Regions from separate parts of the Mus musculus genome. Here region 1 is reported to be linked to region 2. Evidence: microRNA targets listed by miRTarBase, many of them from high-throughput screens and not tested one by one. Region 2 holds a microRNA gene; the other region holds the end of a gene's coding sequence.
Evidence for each region. Region 2 holds the annotated microRNA mmu-miR-291b-5p (GAUCAAAGUGGAGGCCCUCUCC, at 2,058-2,079, opposite strand). A microRNA usually pairs through its seed, bases 2 to 8, with sites in the 3' UTR of a target mRNA and lowers its output. Matches are read on the target gene's strand: a 7mer-m8 pairs with bases 2 to 8, a 7mer-A1 pairs with bases 2 to 7 and ends in A, and an 8mer does both.

Region 1 (5,374 bases), not on the chromosome of region 2:
CCCCGACAGTGTTAGGCAAACCTGCGCGCGCGCGCACACACACACACACACACACACACACACACACAGGTTTTGGGGTGAGCCAATCACCTGGGGCACCTGCTGGCCTAGTCCCACAGCACGGAGGGGAAAGGGGTGGGGGGATGGCCAGAAGAGGCTGTGGAGAAAGGATCTGGGCCCACACTTAAGCCAGGAGTTCCTGATATAAATATTGCTTTTAGGCTGTTTTGCCTTGGCAAAATGAACTGTATTGTTTGCCAAATTGAGAACGCATGGTGCTTTCCACAGCAAGTTAATAAGCGTGTTGTGAAAAGAGATGGAAGAAGTAATACATCTGTCCGGTAAACAGCACAGCACGAGGGATCCCTTTGAAGAGTTCCCAAATGTTTTCTGGTTTCTCTTTCGATGGGGTAGAGACATTCAGCTAACCATGTAGTTTTCTGATTGAATAAATCTGTCCCTGAGGAAATGAGGGACCACGACACAATATAGTTCTCCAATTCTGCCTGTAAACATCAAGCGACTATTCCTTTTATACAATTATCTTCAGTCTCTTCTGAGCTTCAATCCGTGTAGGTGGGAAGAGACTTCGGCCATTTTGTGGAAATCAAATCTAATAAACAGTGGGTGTGGAAAGGAAATAATTACCTCTTAATAATGCTGTTTCTAAGTCATTCCACAACAGTTCGCGAAACGATCGGATCATCACCCCTGAATAGATGCATGAGCTCAAGGTGACGTTAGAATGGGGGGCAAAGGGGAAAAGATAAACAGAAGCCTGAAATGACTCTCTCGCTAGATTTTTTTTTTTTTAAGTTCGGGGCACAGCCAGCTAATTTTGTAATGTTTATTTTTGGAAAGAATAGAAGCAGATTGGAGTTCCAAGCCACTTTCCTAACGATCAGACCTGGACACGTTGCCATCTGCTGGTAAATCCCAACATGGCAATTCTAGCCTGAAGACTCCAACTTGTTTCTACCTATCGTTGGAAAGAGTTCCAAACATCCATCACTATAAACGAGATGTGAACCTTCTCCCCAAGCTTACTCGAGTTTTCTTGAGTGTGCTGTCCTCTTCTCCCTTGTCCTACTAATGTCACAATGCAAGTATCAAGCGAATGGGGGGGGGGGGTCTGATGACTCATCAAATCATGAATTTTAAAAATAAGTTCCCGTCTTCCTTTCCAGCCTGCCTCAATGCTTGAGCTTCAGGGGTGAGACAAACTGGGAACACTTCCTAGTTCACCTTCTCTTCCTTGCATACAAAACCTTTTGGCAAGCTGTTTTCAACATCTTTCCAAATTTTACAGCCCCAGCGTTCTAGCTGTGAGCAAAGGCGGCATTTTGCTGTGGGAAAGCTTTCAGAAGATGGTCAGCAGAGGACTGAATAACTACTGTTTCAATGATGAAAATCTCTAATCACTCACAAGGCTCTGATTTTATTTTTTAATATCCTGACAAAAGGCTCATTATAACTTCACCACTAAGAGTCTACCTATGGAATGCCTTCAGTAGAGCCAAGCAAACCAAGGTCCCTTCCCTAGGTCACACATAGCCCTTTACCTAGGAAAGTGGCACCAGTGACCCAATCCCTGGACATGCAGTTTCCAGTGGAACATCCTCGAGGCCACATTTATCCTCTTATTCACTGCTTCAATGTGCTTATGAAGGGCCTGCTGTACCCAGGACTGTTGTAAGCATCAGAAATCCACTGTCTAGCTGGTTATGGTAGCTTCCACCTTTACTCCCAGCACTTGAAAGGCTGAGGTAGGAGGATGACTTGTGAATTTGGAGGAAGGCTACATGGTGAGTTTCAGGCCAGCCTGTGCTACAGAGCAAAGCCCTGTCTCAAAAAGGGGGAGTAGGAATGAGGAGGTAGCTCAGTGGTAGAGTACTTGTCAAGCAGGCCTGAGACACTGGGGGTGGGGGAGCAACTGCTCAAACAGTTGGTAAAATCAGAATATTATTCCTCCACGTTTAGGCAAACTATTTTCTGCACTGATTGTGTGCTGATTGCTATCTTCCACATAAAAAATAGGAATGATTAATGCTAAAGAGCAGATTACTGTCAACATTTCTACAAGCCAGAGGCTTTTCTCCCTTGGTAAAACCGCAACAAAGATACGAAGGCAGACTCTGGGTTTATAGAAAGTTATTTTATTTCTATAAAATTTAGTACAAATCGTATTGAAATATAAATCCTTCTTGAGCAATATCAGGGATGATTACACAGTAATTCAAATGCAAATAAGTGTCCCCTTTTGTGTCTGGGGACACATCGCACACTAGTCTGCCCTTCATTTACCTGGGTTGTAAAAACAGGCAACCTCTTAACTGCTGAGTCATCTTCAAGAGGTTTTTAATCTCTGACTTTCCTCATAGTTACTAGTTAGACCATCAAGAAGAGCTGAAATGAGGAATTCCTCCCCACTTATCGCTCGTTCAGGTGCCTTGTTATCAAAAATAAATAAATAAATAAAAACCTACAGGCATTTGCTTGAGTTTGCCTCAAACAGAAAGATCTACAATCCTTTCCTTCTGAGGAGGGAGGGAGAAAGGAACCAGCATGAATTTGATTAAGCCTGCTCCCTGGTCTGGTCTGGAGCAGGTTACACGGGGCCAAAATACAAAAGCCAGTTTTGTTTTGTTTTTTTCTTTATGCCTATGTGCCAAGCCACTCTTATTGACTCTGCTTTTGCTGAAGTCAGCATTCCCCAGTTTCCAGTTCTGCCCACAGTTTTGCTGGAAAGGAACACACCACCACCAGGGATTGGGTAGAGTGCTTTGCCTCGCAAGCGCAAGGCCCTGGGTTCGGTCCTCAGCTCTGAAAAAGGAAAAAAAAAAAGACTTCTCAAAGGAACACACCAACATATCTATGACACAAATCAGAGAAAAGGAAGCATGGTGTTATCTGTCCAGAAAACAAAAACGAAAGCCCGACAGCTAAAAGATACCTCTTTAGCTACTTACTGTTAAAGAACCTTTCCATTTGCAAGAATGTCTACGTTTTCAACCTCCCTTGTGACTGGTTTTTGTAGGTAATGCTGCTCACTGGGTTAGTGTCCCCAGTGACTATAGAATGGGCTGACACTTCTCTCTGACCTTTAACCTTGCTTCTTCAGTAGCACCATCTCCTGGCTTACCACCTGAATTAACCAGTCACCATTGATCTAAATAATATAGGAAAGACAACAAATGCACAAACAGATAATACTTTTTTTTTTCCATTAAAGCCCTACATTGGAGCCAGGCATGGTGGCACAGGATTGTAATCCTAGCCCTGAGGAAGCTTAAGTGGAAAAATAGAGTTCAAGGCCAGCCTGAACTATACAAGCAAGACAGTGTCTCAGGAGAAGGGAAAAGGTGATTTAAGGGGGGGGGGGGGATCTAAAACAAAGAAAAAGTAAGAAAAGAAGGAGGTAGAGGAAGAAGAAACGAAGGGAGGAAGGGAGGAAGGGAGGAAGGGAGGAAGGGAGGAAGGGAGGAAGGAAGGAAGGAAGGAAGGAAGGAAGGAAGGAAGGAAGGAAGGAAGGAGCCTGAGGCTATCACATACATGAAAATCTTTGGTTCTAGTTTGCAGTATGTACCAGGAGCTGAAACCTGAACTCCATCTCAAGTACAGTGGAATCCACATGGTAAATCCCCGTGGAATTTAGCCATGGCCTCTCATGCCTAGCAGATTAATTCACAAAAGCCCTGAGAACTGGCATACTCTTCCTGGTCGGGCAGAACCCGTACAACTGGACCAAGTAAATCTAAATCTACCCACATCTCACTCATCTTGCATCTGAAGCACTAGCTCTACAGTTTCTGTGCACACAGAGTTAACACAGGAACCCTGAGCTGCTATCCTTGCAAAGGCCTGCTTGTAACGTTGGTGAGGGCTCCCACCAGAAACTGTTAAGATTGCCTCACTGTTCCTAAACTGTTTCTGAAACACTATGGCTTATGCCAAATGACCGCTTTGGGGGATCTGGAATGTTGCCTCACGCTACTTAGAAGCACATGACCTACTGCCATCAAAGTTTGGGACACCAAGTGTTTGATGACTTTCATGTGTGTTGTTGTGAATCACTCCTGTATATCCAAGCAAGAGACTAGAAGCGAGTGCTTAGATCCCATGAGCTTGGACAAAGGTTCTTTTCCCTTTGCTGAGTCTTCTCCGTATCCTTTCATCATTGCAGATGAAAGCCCTGAGTCTTCTTGATGAATCATGGAAGCCGAGGGTGTCCTTGGTAACCTCTGGCACAGTTAGTGAAGGGAGACGCAGTGAGAAGTTCCTGCCATTGTTAGCTTCACTCCCTCCTCTCTGTCCCTCTTGGCATAACAGCTCCCATTCACAGATACTTGAATGCCTGACCCATGCCCCTTCCTGAGAGTCCCTCCCTTTACATGGGATGAACATACTTAAAATGTCTCGTGGAAATCAGGAGTAAGTGTGGGGAAGGAGTTATTTCCAAAAGAACAAGAAACAGCACTGATTTGACTCAAGTTCTTTTCAGAGATGTCTGAATACCAAGGTCTCCAATGAACATGGGGACCCAAAAAACAAGTGACAGTGGTCATCACTAAACAGCTCTGCCCACTTGTCAATCATCACTGAGGGTGTACAAGTGCCACTACAGGAGTAGGTGTTTCAAGACTGCATATGCTTAGCCTGGAAAATGACTGAAGTCATAACCATACCTTTAGCCCTTTTTTGAAACCTAAGTGCTCGCTTTCTAAGCCCTATAAGCTTAGCTCTGTTTCTGACCCTGGTCCCATGACCAATTCAATCCAATCCACTGACTGGGGACAAGCCTTGACTAGTGTGTCTTGAGATGCCCATTGTGTCTTAGCTGCCGCTCTTCATTCCGTCTGCTTCTCCACGCATGGTACTTCTTGATGCTTTTCTTCCATGCAAAGCGCCAGATGCTAACCATGAAGCACCAAGACACAGCATACATCGCCACACCCCCAACCTTCACAAACCACTTGGGGGTGGGTGAGACCATTTCACAGAAAAGGAGATGAGCGCCCACACCAATCCTCACACCAGTGAACAGAGCCACAAAGAGGAAGTCCACCACATCCCCCGTGAAACTGTGATAGTGGCCAGTTTCCCGGAGAAACCATCGCATCTGGAGCAGCGGGTTGGTGATCTCACTTCCAAAGAGTACAGCATTGACCTCTGTGCCCGACTCCCCAAGTGCTAGGGCCATGATGATCCCCAGGATGCTCAGTGTGTGATGAGCCAGCATCAGGGGACCCTCGGACTGGAAATAGATGCACCAGCCCAAGTCGAAGATGAAGTAGCCCAAGGTAAGACACAGAACGTGAACTTGGAGAGGTGTGTTCGGTGAGCCTGAAACAGATCAAGACAGAAGACAACATGG
Region 2 (5,374 bases):
TCCGCCCACTTCCAGTACAGTACCCAGAGATCTACCTTTATTATATTAAATTCAAACGCTATCCAGAAGTCCCCTATATCCTCCCCCACACCCTGCTCCCCAACCCACTACTTTTTAAAACCTGGCACCACCCCATTTCAGGTTAGCTTGTAACCATCCAGACACTCCACTAAAAGGAACTGGCCATGATGTATAGAAATGGAAAAGACTCACAGTATATAAACAAATGTGGGCTTAAATGTGGCTATGCTTAAAGGCACCTTTAAGCTAGTACAGGGTAATTCTTCCTTAAAACCATTGGAGGGGTGGCATGCCTAAATCCCAAGAGGCAAACAGGGGTGTCTCCCAAAAGGTGCCCTATTACTGTTGAAAACACTTCCAGCTATGTGTTGGTTTAACTTTTGGGGATTTTTTCAGACAGGGTTTTTCTGTATAGCCCAGGATTACCTTTAGTCTCAACCCCAGTGATTAAAAGGGTGCTTGCATGCTTGCAAGCTTTTTTTATCCCTAGGAACCATGGCGGGTGTTTTAAAACAAAAACTGAGAAAGCAGCAAAATCAAGAGAACAAGACTTTATTATTCATGTTTGGAGGCTGAGGGCACTGGTTGCTCCCATAGCACCTTGGTTCATTCAATAGCACCCACATGTCCCAGTTCCAGGAAACCTTCATCTGGATTCAGATACACACTACACATGCATGAAAGCAGCCGACCTGTGAATGGTGCCCACAGGAGAGACTCAAAAGTAGTAGCACTTTCTATGTACAGTCCAGAAGTGTGCCCCACATTTGAGTCTCACCAAGATGAGCAAGCAAGGAGTCTCTGGTTGATTGAAGTTCCGATGCTTTCTCCACATGGCAACACACAAAAGGGAAGCACTTTCCACTTAAAAGCTTAGATAGGGCCTCCATTTTGAGTATGGCTATATGGAATTTCGCTAGATCCAAACATGCCTACAACTGAACTGAAGATTAAGGATTATTCAATGCCAAAAGGATAAATGCAGCTATATGTAATACAGTACCTGTCAAATCTGGGTCACTTCCCGTGAGGTTCCGTGCACCTCAGCTTTTACTTTTGCCCCATTACAGACTGAATCATACCCACAGATGACACCCAAATGATGCAACACTTAGGCCAACTGCAGTTTCTCAATCGGCAACACTACAAACTCTGCGGCACTTCTTACAAAGAACAAAATGTCACACAGTTTGAGTACCACAGATTGAAGCATTTCCACAGGGACCTGCTGTGGTAATAAACCTGAAACTTTATAGTCAGTTCTTAGCCAGACCAGCCAGCCAGGCAGGTTGAAGGCAAGTAAGTACCCCAGGCTAGGCAGGATTACATTCAACTCAACTGGAACACCTGAAAAACAAAGAGAATCCATGAAGATTATGCTTAGGGCACACAATGTAACACCTGTAATCCCAGCCCTCATGAGCCTGGGCTATTGTAAAGCCAAAAGGTATTATGGGTATTATCTACCCGGCTGTCCACCAAGCTTGTTTGTGCTAGGAGCCAGGTTAAAGTCAGCTACAGCCAGCAGGTCCTAAAAATTCAATCCAACCATATCAAGACTCACAACCATCAGTCCAACTACAGTAGTCAAGCAAGATATAGCAACTACAGTAGTCAAGCAAGATATATAGGATCTTTTAATCCCAGGTGGATGGAGCTGAGGCCAGGCTGGTCTACAAGTGAGTTAGCTCCAGGACAGCCAGGGCTACAGAGAAACCCTGTTTGGAGAAAAAGGAAAAAAATTGAAAGAGGACTTAATATGGCGGCCACGTGAGATTTAAAAGTAGGCCTTTCTTTACTCAGACCTGAGGCTTAGACTCACCACCCCTGGACCTGGAGTGCCTCCTTCCACCCTGCCCTGCTTCCTCCTCACCTCCAGCCTTGCAGCTCGAGTAGCCAGTGGCAACGAATTCACCTCCAGCACACATACCTGTTTCAAGCAGGTAAGCGATTCCAGGTTGCAGCTGCAGCCGGCTTTTCAGACGCCATGTACACACAGAGACAAACAAAATGGATGCACTTTCCCGCCAAGCCGCGGAGAGGGCCTCCACTTTGATCGACACTGTATGTTCCAACTTCCAAGACCTGAGGCTCAGCTCCTCCGAGCGAGGCCCATGTGGGATCCCGGCTCCTTTATGAACGCGGAAAGCCTTTAGTACCGCATGCGCCCAAGTGTTCGGACTCAAACCCACATGTGACACCCACCTGCCCAGAAATGCAACCCCAGTGAAAACATGACCCACTAAAACTTAATTCTTAGTTCTTAGCCGTTTTGAGTTCTCAACCGGTGACACTCAAAACCTGGCGGCACTTTTCTTCCGATGAAAATCCAAAAGAGCCCCCAGTTTGAGTATCACAGGCTGGAGGTCAAGCTTAAGAACAATCTACAATGCACCTGGACTCACGACTGCCTTACATCCATCCGCGTCTCGTGGCACCCAACTGAACCGCCCTCTTTAGGATAGGACCCATTAAACTCCAAGCCTAAACCCCCACACAGGTTGTCCGCTCCTGTAAACCGATGCGTCAGATGCAAAGCTATGATGTTTTCCCCATGCAGTGGCACACAAAGTGGAAGCACTTTCTCATTCAGGCTCAAGAGAGGGCCTCCACTTTGATGGCCGCTACATAGGTGTAACAGCTCCAAGCAGCGACAGGACGCACATGGAGCCCCCAGGTACCCTACAACGACCACCTCAGTTACCGTCTACTGGGCAGGATGCCCATCCCTAGCCTTTCGCTATACTCAGTCTCATTCCTTTCTTCGAATCCGTACTCACCACGCTGCAGTTAACCCGGAACACGTGGCACCAGGGCTGGTAAATGTGCCAGATAGCCGTTTTCTCAACCGGCGGGGCTTAAAACTAGGCGGCACTTTTTAAAGAAAAAAAAAAGTGCCCCCATAGTTTGAGTACCGCAAGATGAGGCGGTCCAGACGTTAAAACATTTACCAGGAGGAAAGAACGTGGAGAACTTAAAATTCACTCCAACCTGAAGGAAACCTGGATGAAATCAAGGAAGAGTTAGTACATCGGTCTAACTCAAGGTATAGTGAAACTCAAAATTTCTACAATGAAACCACGTAGTTAATGAAATGTACTGCATAGACTCCCTAGACCTGCCCTCAGTAACTCCTAGCTTTGGTTTCTGGTCCCCAAACTTCACTCGCGCCCAGACTACTCACTTTCCCCACATAGGCTCGTTCCTCCCTTGAAATTATGTAGACCAAGTCAGAAAAAAAAGCCCAACTCTTTTTCCACACACATTAGTTCTAAATGTCTTCTTTGGAGACCAGACCAACCTCAGATGGGCCTGCCTCTGCCTCGGGATTAGTAAACCCAGCCAAACCGTGGGGGCGAGCGAGGAAGGCTGAGTTCGCGGCTAGCCTGCCTTTTAAAAAAGGGGCTCTAGTTTTTAAAAAGTAGAATGAAGATGGCCGTGATGACCTTTAATCTGGAGGCAGAGAGGCAGGCAGAAATGAGAGTTAAAGGCCAGCCTGGCTAGTCATCTCCAAAGTTGAAGCAGGAAGATCTCTCTTCTGGAAATCCTGGATCTACTTTCGCCTCTCTAAACCAGGTAGATTAAAACCACAGAACTGAAGGAAATAAAAAATCTGAAACTAAAAATATTACCTTTGCCTATGTGAGAAGCAGCACGCCGGAGGTATCCCTGAAGACCGCAGAGACCAGCATTCCCGATGTGGAGTAGAAGTCTCTGAGAGGCGTGGGGGAGGCTCTAGGTTCTTATATAGTCTGAAGGCTCATTGGCCCCCTGGACTGGGAGGCTCTGATACCCCTCCCCCACCCCGGAGAATCCTTACTCTACCACCCTGCTTCCTCTGAGCTGAGTTTCCCTGCGGCAGAGTGACCTTCACTGGTTTCTTCTCCCCCCCACCCCCCAGAGGAAACAGATTTCTTTGTTTGTTTCTAGAAGCAGCGCCTTTAATCCTATAGTTTTCTAGGCCGAGGCTGGAGGATCTTTGTTAGTTCAAGGCCAGCTTGGTCTACTATGGTGACTAGGCACGGGACTAGGCAGGGCTACATTCAGTATTAAGATAATAATAAAAATAAATAAAGGAAGAATGTGGGAGGTTCAGTTTATTCTTTCGTTTGAATTTTTTTTAAATCCAGAGTTTCAAATCCTCCCTCTTTTTTACCTTTCTTTCTTTCTTTCTTTCTTTCTTTCTTTCTTTCTTTCTTTCTTTCTTTCTTTCTTTCTTTCTTTCTTTCTTTCTTTCTTTCTTTCCCACACTGAATATGAAGGTCCAAGAACAATATGATAGAGTTAGTTTTCTCCTATGCTTAAATATGTTTTTTTTGGGGGGGAGGGGGTTCAAGACAGGGTTTCTCTGTGTAGCCCTGGCTGTCCTGGAACTCACTCTGTAGACCAGGCTGGCCTTGAACTCAGAAATCCGCCTGCCTCTGCCTCCCAAATGCTGGGATTAAAGGCGTGTGCCACCATGCCCGGCTGTTTTTCTTTTGTTATTATTATTGTTGTTGTTATTATTATTTATTAAATATCTTTAAATAGCTCCATGGATTGAAATTAGGTCTCCAGGCGGCAGGGCTAAAGCTACAGAGGCATATTGCAGACTTGGAGTTTAGGGTTTGTTTGTTTGTTTGTTTGTTTTTTGGAGACAAGGCTCAAGTACGCCAAGCTGGCCATAAGCTCATTAAATAGCCAAGAATAATTTAGGACTCCTAAGTCTACACCTTGTGTGTGTGTGTGTGTGTGTGTGTGTGTGTGTGTGTGTGTGTAATGGAACATTTTTAAAAAATTAATTTAATTTTTAAAAATGTATTCACCCTACATCCTACTCACTGCCCCCCTCCAGGTCACCTCCTTCTACAATCCTTCCCCCAACCCCAGTCTTCTCCTCTGAGTCGCCCCCCCCCCCCCAGCACTTCCAGTCTGTGGGGCTAGGTGCTTCCTCTCCCACTGAGGCCAGACAAAGCAGCCCAGTTTGACCATCATAACTCCGGGACAGGCAACTGCTTTTGGGATAGCCTCTGCTCCAGCTGTTTAGGACTCACATGAAGGTCAAGCTACACCTCGGCTACATGTGAGCAAAGAGGCCTAGGTCCAGCCCATGTGTGTTCTTTGGTTAGTGGGGACTCATAAGTCTTTGTCTCCAATCTTCCAAGGGCTGGAATAGGCATATACCAGTATGCCCAGTTCAGTCATTAATTCCAGGCATATTTAATATACTTTAGATGTCTTGTTAATTGAACAAACAAGCCTCACCAGCAATTTGCTAGGTCTTAGGCTTGGGGAAGCAGATAGAGATATGGGTTTGGTCAAGTATAATGGCACATTCTTTTAATTCCAGCAATGGGTAGGCCAAGCAGCTACA

Region 1: the mRNA of Tlcd5 is a reported target of mmu-miR-291b-5p. Seed matches in the 3' UTR shown: 7mer-m8 at 4,018-4,024 and 7mer-A1 at 2,455-2,461.

What each region holds. Positions count from the first base shown.
Region 1 is chr9:43,106,516-43,111,889 of GRCm38, forward strand. It overlaps Tlcd5 (TLC domain containing 5), which reads right to left. Exons shown (of 3, transcript NM_001034863.3): 3 at 2,138-5,343. The coding sequence ends at 4,805. Among named protein-coding and RNA genes, the nearest start is that of Arhgef12, 3.5 kb to the left of the region's middle.
Region 2 is chr7:3,216,199-3,221,572 of GRCm38, reverse strand. It overlaps Mir291b (microRNA 291b), which reads right to left and starts at 2,091; the gene lies at 2,013-2,091. It overlaps Mir290a (microRNA 290a), which reads right to left and starts at 2,947; the gene lies at 2,865-2,947. It overlaps Mir290b (microRNA 290b), which reads left to right and starts at 2,878; the gene lies at 2,878-2,935. It overlaps D7Ertd143e (DNA segment, Chr 7, ERATO Doi 143, expressed), which reads right to left and starts at 2,789. Exons shown (of 1, transcript NR_028425.1): 1 at 558-2,789. It also overlaps Mir291a, Mir292, Mir292b, Mir293, Mir294 and Mir295, and 1 more gene.